Linked DNA regions of Nothobranchius furzeri. The protein of the gene in region 1 purifies or fractionates together with the protein of each later gene. This does not show direct contact. Links are inferred from orthologs where the notes say so. Each region holds a gene or a part of one and is shown on either strand. Other genes may lie near its edges.

Evidence for each region.
Region 2: the proteins of bms1 (region 1) and rcl1 purify together in Homo sapiens (co-immunoprecipitation; 4 studies listed by BioGRID and IntAct, with this or other methods). This does not show direct contact. The link is inferred for Nothobranchius furzeri from reciprocal best matches to the Homo sapiens genes BMS1 and RCL1.

What each region holds. Positions count from the first base shown.
Region 1 is NC_091756.1:4,735,338-4,739,915, forward strand, and holds the start of bms1 (ribosome biogenesis protein BMS1 homolog), read right to left. Parts: upstream 2,917-4,578; 5' UTR 2,694-2,916; intron 1-2,693. UniProt on the Homo sapiens protein: GTPase required for the synthesis of 40S ribosomal subunits and for processing of pre-ribosomal RNA (pre-rRNA) at sites A0, A1, and A2.
Region 2 is NC_091746.1:49,083,714-49,088,204, reverse strand, and holds the start of rcl1 (RNA 3'-terminal phosphate cyclase-like protein), read left to right. Parts: upstream 1-1,393; 5' UTR 1,394-1,462; coding exon 1,463-1,592; intron 1,593-1,982; coding exon 1,983-2,054; intron 2,055-4,486; coding exon 4,487-4,491. UniProt on the Homo sapiens protein: As part of the small subunit (SSU) processome, it plays a role in 40S-ribosomal-subunit biogenesis in the early pre-rRNA processing steps at sites A0, A1 and A2 that are required for proper maturation of the 18S RNA.

The DNA.
Region 1 (4,578 bases):
CACTCTGGGGGGTGATGACGTATATTGGTTGTACTTGGAGGAATAGCTATTGACGCTATTGTTTGTTTACGTGCTCGCCGTATTAATAATTAAGTAAAATGCCGCATTGTGCTGCTTTTGGATGTAATTTCCAGTCAGAGGGCAACAAGGGGAGTGATGTGAGTTTACAGCTTTCCCACTGGCAACAAGAGGAGAAAGCAGTGGGAAGATGCCTGTGGACGGACACAACTTCCCAAAGATCCATGGCTGTGTTCCCAACATTTTCCTCCTGATGCGTTTGAGGCTTATAGACGACCACAACGACTTAAAGAGCTCACCAGAGCGGCTGGGTACAAGAGAAGGCTGAAACTAGACGCTTTAGCGACCATTTTCCCACACAAGGAGCCTGAACGCCCTCGGAGAGTCGAGAGACGCTGGACGCTTTGAGCCGACAACCCGCTCCTGCAGCTGCCGCTACTGTCACGTTCAGCGAACCATCGGACACGCCCAATCTCAATAATCACCCTTGCGAACTGCAATTGTGCGCTCCTGGCCAGGGGTGCGAAGGGTGTCCCAATTCTCAAGTGCGGAAATTGACCACGCCCCCATTGCACCCTTAATCTGCACTTCACCCAAGTCTGCAGCAATGCGGACCTCGGGTAAGGGTATTATCCACAAGTCATTGCTGCAGGAGGAACGGCTCAAGTTCCTTTTATGAAAATATGTATTTTCTAATGAAATTAGTTCATTTTAGGACTAAATAAGCATGAAGGTCTGAATATTTTTGACAAAGCAGCAATGAAGTAAAATTTATTTCAAATAATTACTTTATTTGTTTGAAATTTAATGAAGGTTTTTGAAAAAAGTTTCACAGCGACCAGCAGCCTGGCATGCGTTGCGATCGATGACGCAATGCTCCCTGTCTCAGTTCGGCAATAATTTGCACACTTGTGTGCTACACACTCGAACCCTACTGCACACTTTCTCCAAGTGCACTTTGCTGAAGACCGCAGGGCGCACGCAGTGCGAGTATTGTGGTTGGGCCCAACACAAAAGGAAGATACTGGGAGGAGAGCAGTCTTGTGACCACAGGGGAAAAGCTGTTGGATGTTGACAAAAACAAGCCCTGAAGTCATAGGAATGGGTGATAACAGCAGTGATGGGAGTAACGGCGTTTAATATAACGGCGTTACTAACGGCGTTCTTTTTTAGGTAACGGAATAATCTAATTAATTACTTTTCCCACTGTTGTAACGCCGTTACCGTTACTGGGGACGGAAGGTTGTGCGTTACTATGTGCTTGTCGAACGTTGAGCAGCAGCGTGAGGCTTTCTGACCGCCACACTTCAGCTGCAGCCAGGGAGAGAGAGGTGTCGGTAACGCACTTACAAAGTTCAATTAACCCATTTTTTTGCATTCTTTAATGGAAAAAGTAACAAAATAGTTATTTTTCTTGGTAATTAGTTACTTTTATAATCTCGTAACTCAGTAACTGAGTTGCTTTTTTGACAAAGTAATCAGTAACTATAACTAATTACTTTATTAAAGTAACGTTCCCAACACTGGATAACAGATGTTACCCTATATGCTGCTTGTAAGTGTTCCTTTTGCCTTTTACTGGATAGTGACATTGATGATAAAATATCGAAAAGTTAATTACTGTGCATTTATCGGAGGGGTAAGGCACCCTGGTTCTGGCAAGCTGCTGTCCAGCATGTTTAGAGGCTTCCAAGCAACAACACACTTGATTTTAATCAGCAGGTGTTTAGTGCGCACCTGTAGAGCCTAACGAGCTGCTGAACATGTGAATGAACTGTGTTGAAGTACTGAAACCTCTAAACGTGCTGGACGGCAGCTCTCCAGGGCCAGGGTTCCCTACCCCTGCAGCTTTTACTGGAGAACAAAAGAAGCGGAAGTTGAGCCTGTGTAGCGGAAACACAGAGAACAACAACAACAAACAACTGATTACGACTCAAAGGTTGTTGGTCAGCTGAGCCTGAGCCATTTTAATTCTCTCCGAGCCAAGCATGTTTAGGCATGTCCTCAACATTAACAATAAGGTGTTGTTGTGCCACAAAAATAGGCACAACTAGTCATACTCAAGACAGTCCAACAAGCTACAGAAAGTTGTGATTAATAAGGACGTGTGCTGAGAACGGCAGCATTATTTATCTAGAATCTATGGATGCGTGCGGCACGTTGGTGAAACAAAGAAGCTGGTAACCTTTATCATTAGGTGGTTTCTGGTGCCATCCCAGTCAGTCTGAGGACATTTCAGAAGGTTTTATAGCCTGCTCTCTCTGAATCACCAAACTGGGGCAGCAGTAGCTCAACAGGTTGTCCAGTATTCAGAAGGTTGCAGGTTCGATCCAGGCTCCGGACAGAGAATTCTGCTGTTGTGTCCTTGGGCAAGACACTTAACCCACGCTGCCTGCTGGTGGTGGTCGGAGGGACCGGTGTCGCCTGTGCTCGGCAGCCTCGCCTCTGTCAGTGTGCCCCAGGGCAGCTGTGGCTACATCGTAGCTCATCACCACCAGTGTGTGTGAACGGATGAATGATACACTGTAGTGTAAAGCGCTTTGGAGTCCTTACTCTGAGAGGCGCTACACAAGTGCGGCTCATTTATCGTTCATATTTTGGAATGACACGTGACAACATCGTAATGTACCTATAATTGATCTGGTTTCAAATTAAACCACAGGGATGTGTTTTACCTCTTCTCCTTTAAGTCAGCTGTTTTCCTCCGTTCCCGAGTGAGAACCGGGACCTTTTCTCCTCCAGTTTCCGAGCCTGTGCTGCGTGTTTAACTCGCCCGAAGCGGATTAAAGTCCAAATAAAACACAAAATCCGCTCAGTTCGTCTCCGCGGAAACTCACGCACCACCGGAAATGTCCAGTAAGAAATTAGCCTCAGTAAACGAGTAAATACGCGCTTTTGTTCTGCTTTAGTTTGAGTTTTGTTGATCTCACGTGTGCAACGAGAGCTCCGAACCGGAAGTGTGTCACCTTATAGAAATCCGAGTCGCGAAAATAACAGATAAATGGTTCCGCGCTGGATTGTAGGTAGTGATCATCGACATAAAAAGTTCCCAAAGCATCAGGTCTTCATCTGAACACAAAAAAATGTGAATTACTTTAACTGTATGAATGTATAGATAAAGAAATAATGTCAATTTCCGTTTAAAAAGAAATTAACTATCTGCGAGTTAAGATCGCAGACGAAAACAGAAGAAATGAATATGAAAGGAAAAAGTGATCAAATACAAAAAACTTTGAATCAGTGGCTTAGCAGAGATCTTTCCATTTTTGGGTGAAATGAATTGTGGGTATTTCCCAACTGATTTATCCACATCTATCTCTTTACATCGCCCCAAAAACTGTGAATAATATTAACTCTATTATATACAAATTTATTTGGAGAAATAAAACCCACTATATCAAAAGATCTCAGTTGGTTAAAGAATTTGATGATGGAGGCTTGAAATCAGTGGATTTTTAAGCAATGTTGGGAACATTTAAAATAAAGTGGCTGAAAGATTTTCTAATTAAGCCAGAGTCAATGTTCCAAAAAATGTCTTTAAGATGTTTGGTGGGTTAAACTTTCTTTTTAAATGTGACTTTGAAATCACTAATTTCCATTTAAATTATTTGAAATTTCATAAACACGTTTTGGATTTTTAGAAGATGCTATCATTTACCCATTATTCTACCCTGCATTGCACCACCTTGTGGAATAATCAAGTAATCGTTCCAAACAAAAAGTCTTCGTTCAACCAGCAGTGGTTTGACCAAGGAAGCGTCTTTGTACATGATACATGTTATGGATAAAAATGGTGAAATATTACAACTACAAGATTTTAAATACAAATTTAACAATCACCAATGTTTCCTTAAGGGTTATAAGAAAATATGTAAGTCAATACCAATAACAGATAAAAAAAAACCACAATTTGCTTCTCTAATGTCCAAACCAAACGTCCTCATTTAACAACAGGAGTATTAAAAATTACAAACAGAAAATGTGAAAATAAGTTTTTTAACTGACCCTTTAAATGATATATCTATCATGATGAAAGATTAAACTACAAATGTTAGGAAATCCAAGAATTGTAGAAAAACATTAAAAAAATGTTTTTAAATGGCCAATAGCACCCACAGTAAATGTTATCAAATCAAATCAAATCAACTTTATTTATAAAGCGCTTTCACATGCCCAAAACAGACAAAGCAAGCGCTGTACACCAATAAAAATCACAACAAGAAAACAGACATATAGCCATTTAAAATACAATAAGAAATGCCGAGTACAAGTTCGCAGTCCATATCAGACCTTTTTCCAAAATCAGATCCAGACACATTCAAAGTGCAGCTGCCCACGCAATCCTAACTTCAATGTCCAAACGCCAGCGAGAACAGACGTGTTTTCAGTCTGCTTTTAAAGGTTAAATTAAATGTAACTTAAGATTCTTAACAACTACTATCCATCAGCAGTGACACTGAGGAGTAGATTTGGTTTTGAGCTTGACCCATGTGAATTCTGTCATGAAAGCCCTGAAGGAACAGAACACTTATTTTCAGCTGTCCTGTTAATAATAGGTTT
Region 2 (4,491 bases), on another chromosome or scaffold:
CGCTTTCCCTTCCTCCCCAAGTATTTTATTGTTCCCATGAAAAAATGTCTTTAATGCCAAAAAATCTCTCTGCTCCTTTCAATTATTTTTATCTTCTCTGTTCGTTTCACTTGAGCAGTACAGTTTATGACATACGCCATAAACAAAATCATCTTCTCTGTCAATCCTGTGTGAGTTTCTTGTGTCTGCACAAAATCTGATGGCGACTCTGTATGAACTTTTCTAGCCTCATTCTTTCCATTCTGTGCCTTTTAGAGCCTCTGTGTAGCTGATGCCATGAACCACTTATATTTGTTCAACCTGCACTGCCTTCTAGAAAACACTAGAAGACTAGAAAACATCATAAAATGTGACTTAATGTTGCAGATTAAAAAAAAACACAGACTAGTTTAGTTATCCTGTGATCGTGTGCTGGAGAAATGTTAGATATTTGTTTAGGTTTTTACTGATCCTTTAAGAAAAGGAGAGAAGAAGGCCCCGACCACAGAAGTTTAATTTATGGTCTGGCTTGAGGGTGCTGCCATCTAGCGCCTAGATAGGTTTAATTTAGGAAAGTACATTGTTTGCATTATTGTAGTCACGATAATAAAACATTCACCCAAAATTTTAATATTATTAAAATATTATTATTAATAAATTAATATTATAGACATTTTAAAAACCTAGTAGCCATTTATATGTCACAATTAGAGTATTTTACTCACTTGTGAAAAGTTTTAATCACAGTATAATTTCTGATTATCTTGCAAAATATGAAAACGATTTTAATGTTCTTACCCCTTAGAGATTTAGATTTTTCCCAAGTCCCTGTTTTTCTCTTCCATTGGGTAACATGTAATGCAGTAATAGTAAGTCGGTTTGACCTCTCCAGAGGAAAGACGTAAACACTTCATTTCAAGAGGACAATAAGCTGCAGGCCTAATAATGCATTTTATCTGTACTTACAGATGTTGTTCAACAAAAAAATAAATTATTGTAGACTTCTGTGACACCCCCCCCCCCCCCCCCAACATTGTCATCATTCGATTTCTTTGAATCGTTTATAAAATTACATACACTCTAACAATGCCAATTTTTCTGAGACTTTGGACACATGATGGGTTGGCCGTCAGCAGAGAAATAGCCTAATATAAATTCCCAAGAATTTAAGAGGCTTCTTTTAAAGTTTGCGGGCCAGCACCTCTCAATAAATTACTCTTTATAAACAAATACATGCTATGTATGTTTGTGTTATTGAATTACTCCTTAATATCGTACAAATACATTTTCCTTTGTTATATTCGGGGTTTTATGTCTTTCGTGATAACTGGTTGGTGAGGTAACAACCTCTTTTTCTACACTGGGTAGGTAACAACCGGTAACAACAAGAAGACATTTTTGACCCTCGCCGTTTGCTGTATTCGCGCCTCCCTCCAACGCCTTTCTGCCACACGTGGATGTTGCGCGAGGCATAAACAACAACATGGCAAGCAACGGACTCTCTTATGACGGCTGTAATTTTTTCAGACAGCGGCTGGTTTTATCGACTCTCAGCGGGAAGCATGTGAAAATAAAAAACATCCGGTCTAAGGACGACAACCCGGGGCTTCGCGGTGAGTCGCAGCTTCGCTCCGCATGTGGCGTCGCAGTTAGCTAGATTGCTAACGGGCTAGCTGTTACGCAGTTGGGAGTGTGTTTAGAAGCTGGGAGTTAGATGTAGGAAAATTGCCATGTATGGGTGAAAATGCGAGGGCAAATACGAGATAAACATTTTGTCACATTGTTGTAACAGTTTATGTCGTTGTCAAGCTTAGAAACTGCGCAAATATGTTTGACCACCTCTTAATTGAGTTTGTTTTGTTTATAGTAACTTGAATCTTTAAAGATTGAAAATTCACCTCGAGTTTGAGCTGCGTGTTTAATAAAATAAGTTTTCTGAGTTACTTAGGGATAAAGTGTTTTTGTTGACTAGTTTTACTTTTTGTTTGATTTGTTTTGTCCAGATTTCGAGGCCAGCTTTGTCAGACTACTCGACAAAGTGACCAATGGTTCCAGAATAGAGATAAATCAAACAGGTGAGTGACAAAAACATATTTTAGATAATTGCAAATATTTCTTGTCAATATCATTCACAAAAATCGTCAATACTATTTTATATTTTACCTACATTTCATATGTGGTTAATTAGACTCCATCTAAAACTGGTTACTAGACTCAGGTTTAATCCAGGGAAACATCTAAAACATTCAGGCTGTTGGTTTACAGAGATAAAATCCGAGAAACACTTTGAATTATTATTATTTTTAGGTGTGTACAAATTGGTTGGTACAGTATTTATTTGTCTTGTTTATTTGGGTTCTATGAATAAATACATTTAGATTTGGAATTGGGTTTTATAAATAGTTTATTTTTTTCATTTGATTTACAACTAGATAATTTATATTTGAGTAAAATTAATCGGGATACGTATTTCTTGTTCTATCTTTACAGCTGTACTTAATTGTTTGCTGTTAAAATAAAACATGAATGAAACACAACCTTCAGATCTGCCGTTTTCTATTACCGGTATTCTGTTTTAAAACACTCTTAGATCTGGATACACCTTTTTTAATACTGCATTCATTGTATTTGTTATTGTTTAAGGAAAGTAGAAAGCTCATTTCTTGTCTAAATCACTTCCAGCTAGCGGATCAAATTTTCTGGTTCTTTGAGGAGAGGTAGACCAGTCACACACTAACTCTGTTCCTAATACACTCTCAAAAATGACCATCAGTCAGTAGGTTGGTTTAGCTTGGTTTAAATAAAACAAAAACTTAGACAATGGTAAAAATAACAAACACAGTTATTGTTTGTTGGATACAAATGACTCCCCATGGTCATCAGTCAAAAGGGCCCAGAATCTTCTCATACATTAGTTTGTGACCTGTATACTCGAGCAACATTTTCATTTAATTAATAAAGATGAGTATTATTGAAGTTTATAGGAACAGAAATCATTGTTTGATCAAAGCAGGCAGATTCAAATAACTGTAGTTTTTTTCAGATGCACAGTTCTGTTGTAGTATTAGATACATTTGTTAAAGGATGACTGTGGGGCGGTCACTAGGAGGCGCTACGTGGTTGATGATGTAATCAGCTAACTGTATAATTGATCTGATGCTTTGTTCTGGGATCAGTTGGAGTGAGTAAATCGTGTGGGAGAAACTTACCTCTGTCATCCTTGACTCTTCCATTGGTGACCTCAATGTGGACGATCATGACAATGACTGACGACACGACCCACCCAGTTCCAGCCCCGCCCACTGCTGCTGAAGCTACACCGGTTCTGGCGCTCTTGTCTGCAGTTGCTGTTAAGCTCCCGGACTTTTGGCTACATGATCCTGCGTCATGATTTTCCCACATTGAAGCACAGTTTGCTCTGCGTGGATTGTCAGACGACAACAACGGTGTTGTTGCTGCACTGGATCGGTCCACGCGTCGAGTCATGAGTCTGCTTCAGAACCTTCCAGCCCAGGGGAATTATGTCACCCTCAAGCAGCTGTTGCTAAGGCGCTACACACTTTCAGGAGGCAGAATGAACGGAGAAACTTCTTTCTCTCACCGGTTTGGGTGACAGCACCGCCCTGGATCTCATGGATCTCATGCTTTACCTCCTTGGTTCTGACGATGGAGAATTCCTCTTTGTCCACCTCTTCCTTTGTGAGCTCCCGCTTCAGGTGCACACGGCGCTTGCTAATTCCCCACCTGCTGCAACAAAGGGATTAACTCGCACTGGCCGAAGAAGCTGACCTCATCTTCCAGACCACGAGGACCTTGACAACCTAGGATGTGGTCCCGCCATGCGTGGAGACAATGCTCGATTCTTCACACAGGTCTGTCCAACTTCCCTCGGTGGCCAGCATTGCAGCTAAAGATTGCCAAGGAGCTGCTTTTTGTTTTTACCACCAGTGTTTTGGTGCCGAAGCGTGACGCTGCCTCCCCCTTTGCTCTTTCACATTCAGCATGTGAAGGGAGCTGGTCTCAAGCTTGCACACATCCTGGGAGATCAACCTCAGTTGGGGGCCCAGGCTCCTCTTAGAGGGCTTCCTCTCTCTGCCAACCTGGAAACCATCCAATCCCATTGGGTTCTTCTCATCCACACCAGAACAGAACTTACTGGGCGGGAACCACACCACCCAGCTTCAGCAACTAACCCAGGTCACCTGATCAAGACCCCTACAGGACTTTCTGGGTGTTCAATGGGGGCGTGTGTGGCGGGATACTAGGAGGCTCTACTCACACCCAGAGAAGCAGGATGCTATGTGGGTTGATGATGTAATCAGCTAACAGTATAAGTGTACTGATTTTAATTTTGTGATCAGTTTGGAGCGAATAAAGCTTGTGGGTTAAACTTAGTCCTGTGTCGTCTTTGACTCGTCCACAACTGCATTAATTCAGACTCTCCTCTCATTGAACAGTGGTTTTCTTTATTTGCATCGTGCTTGATAACTTCACGTGTCTTTACCAGGTACC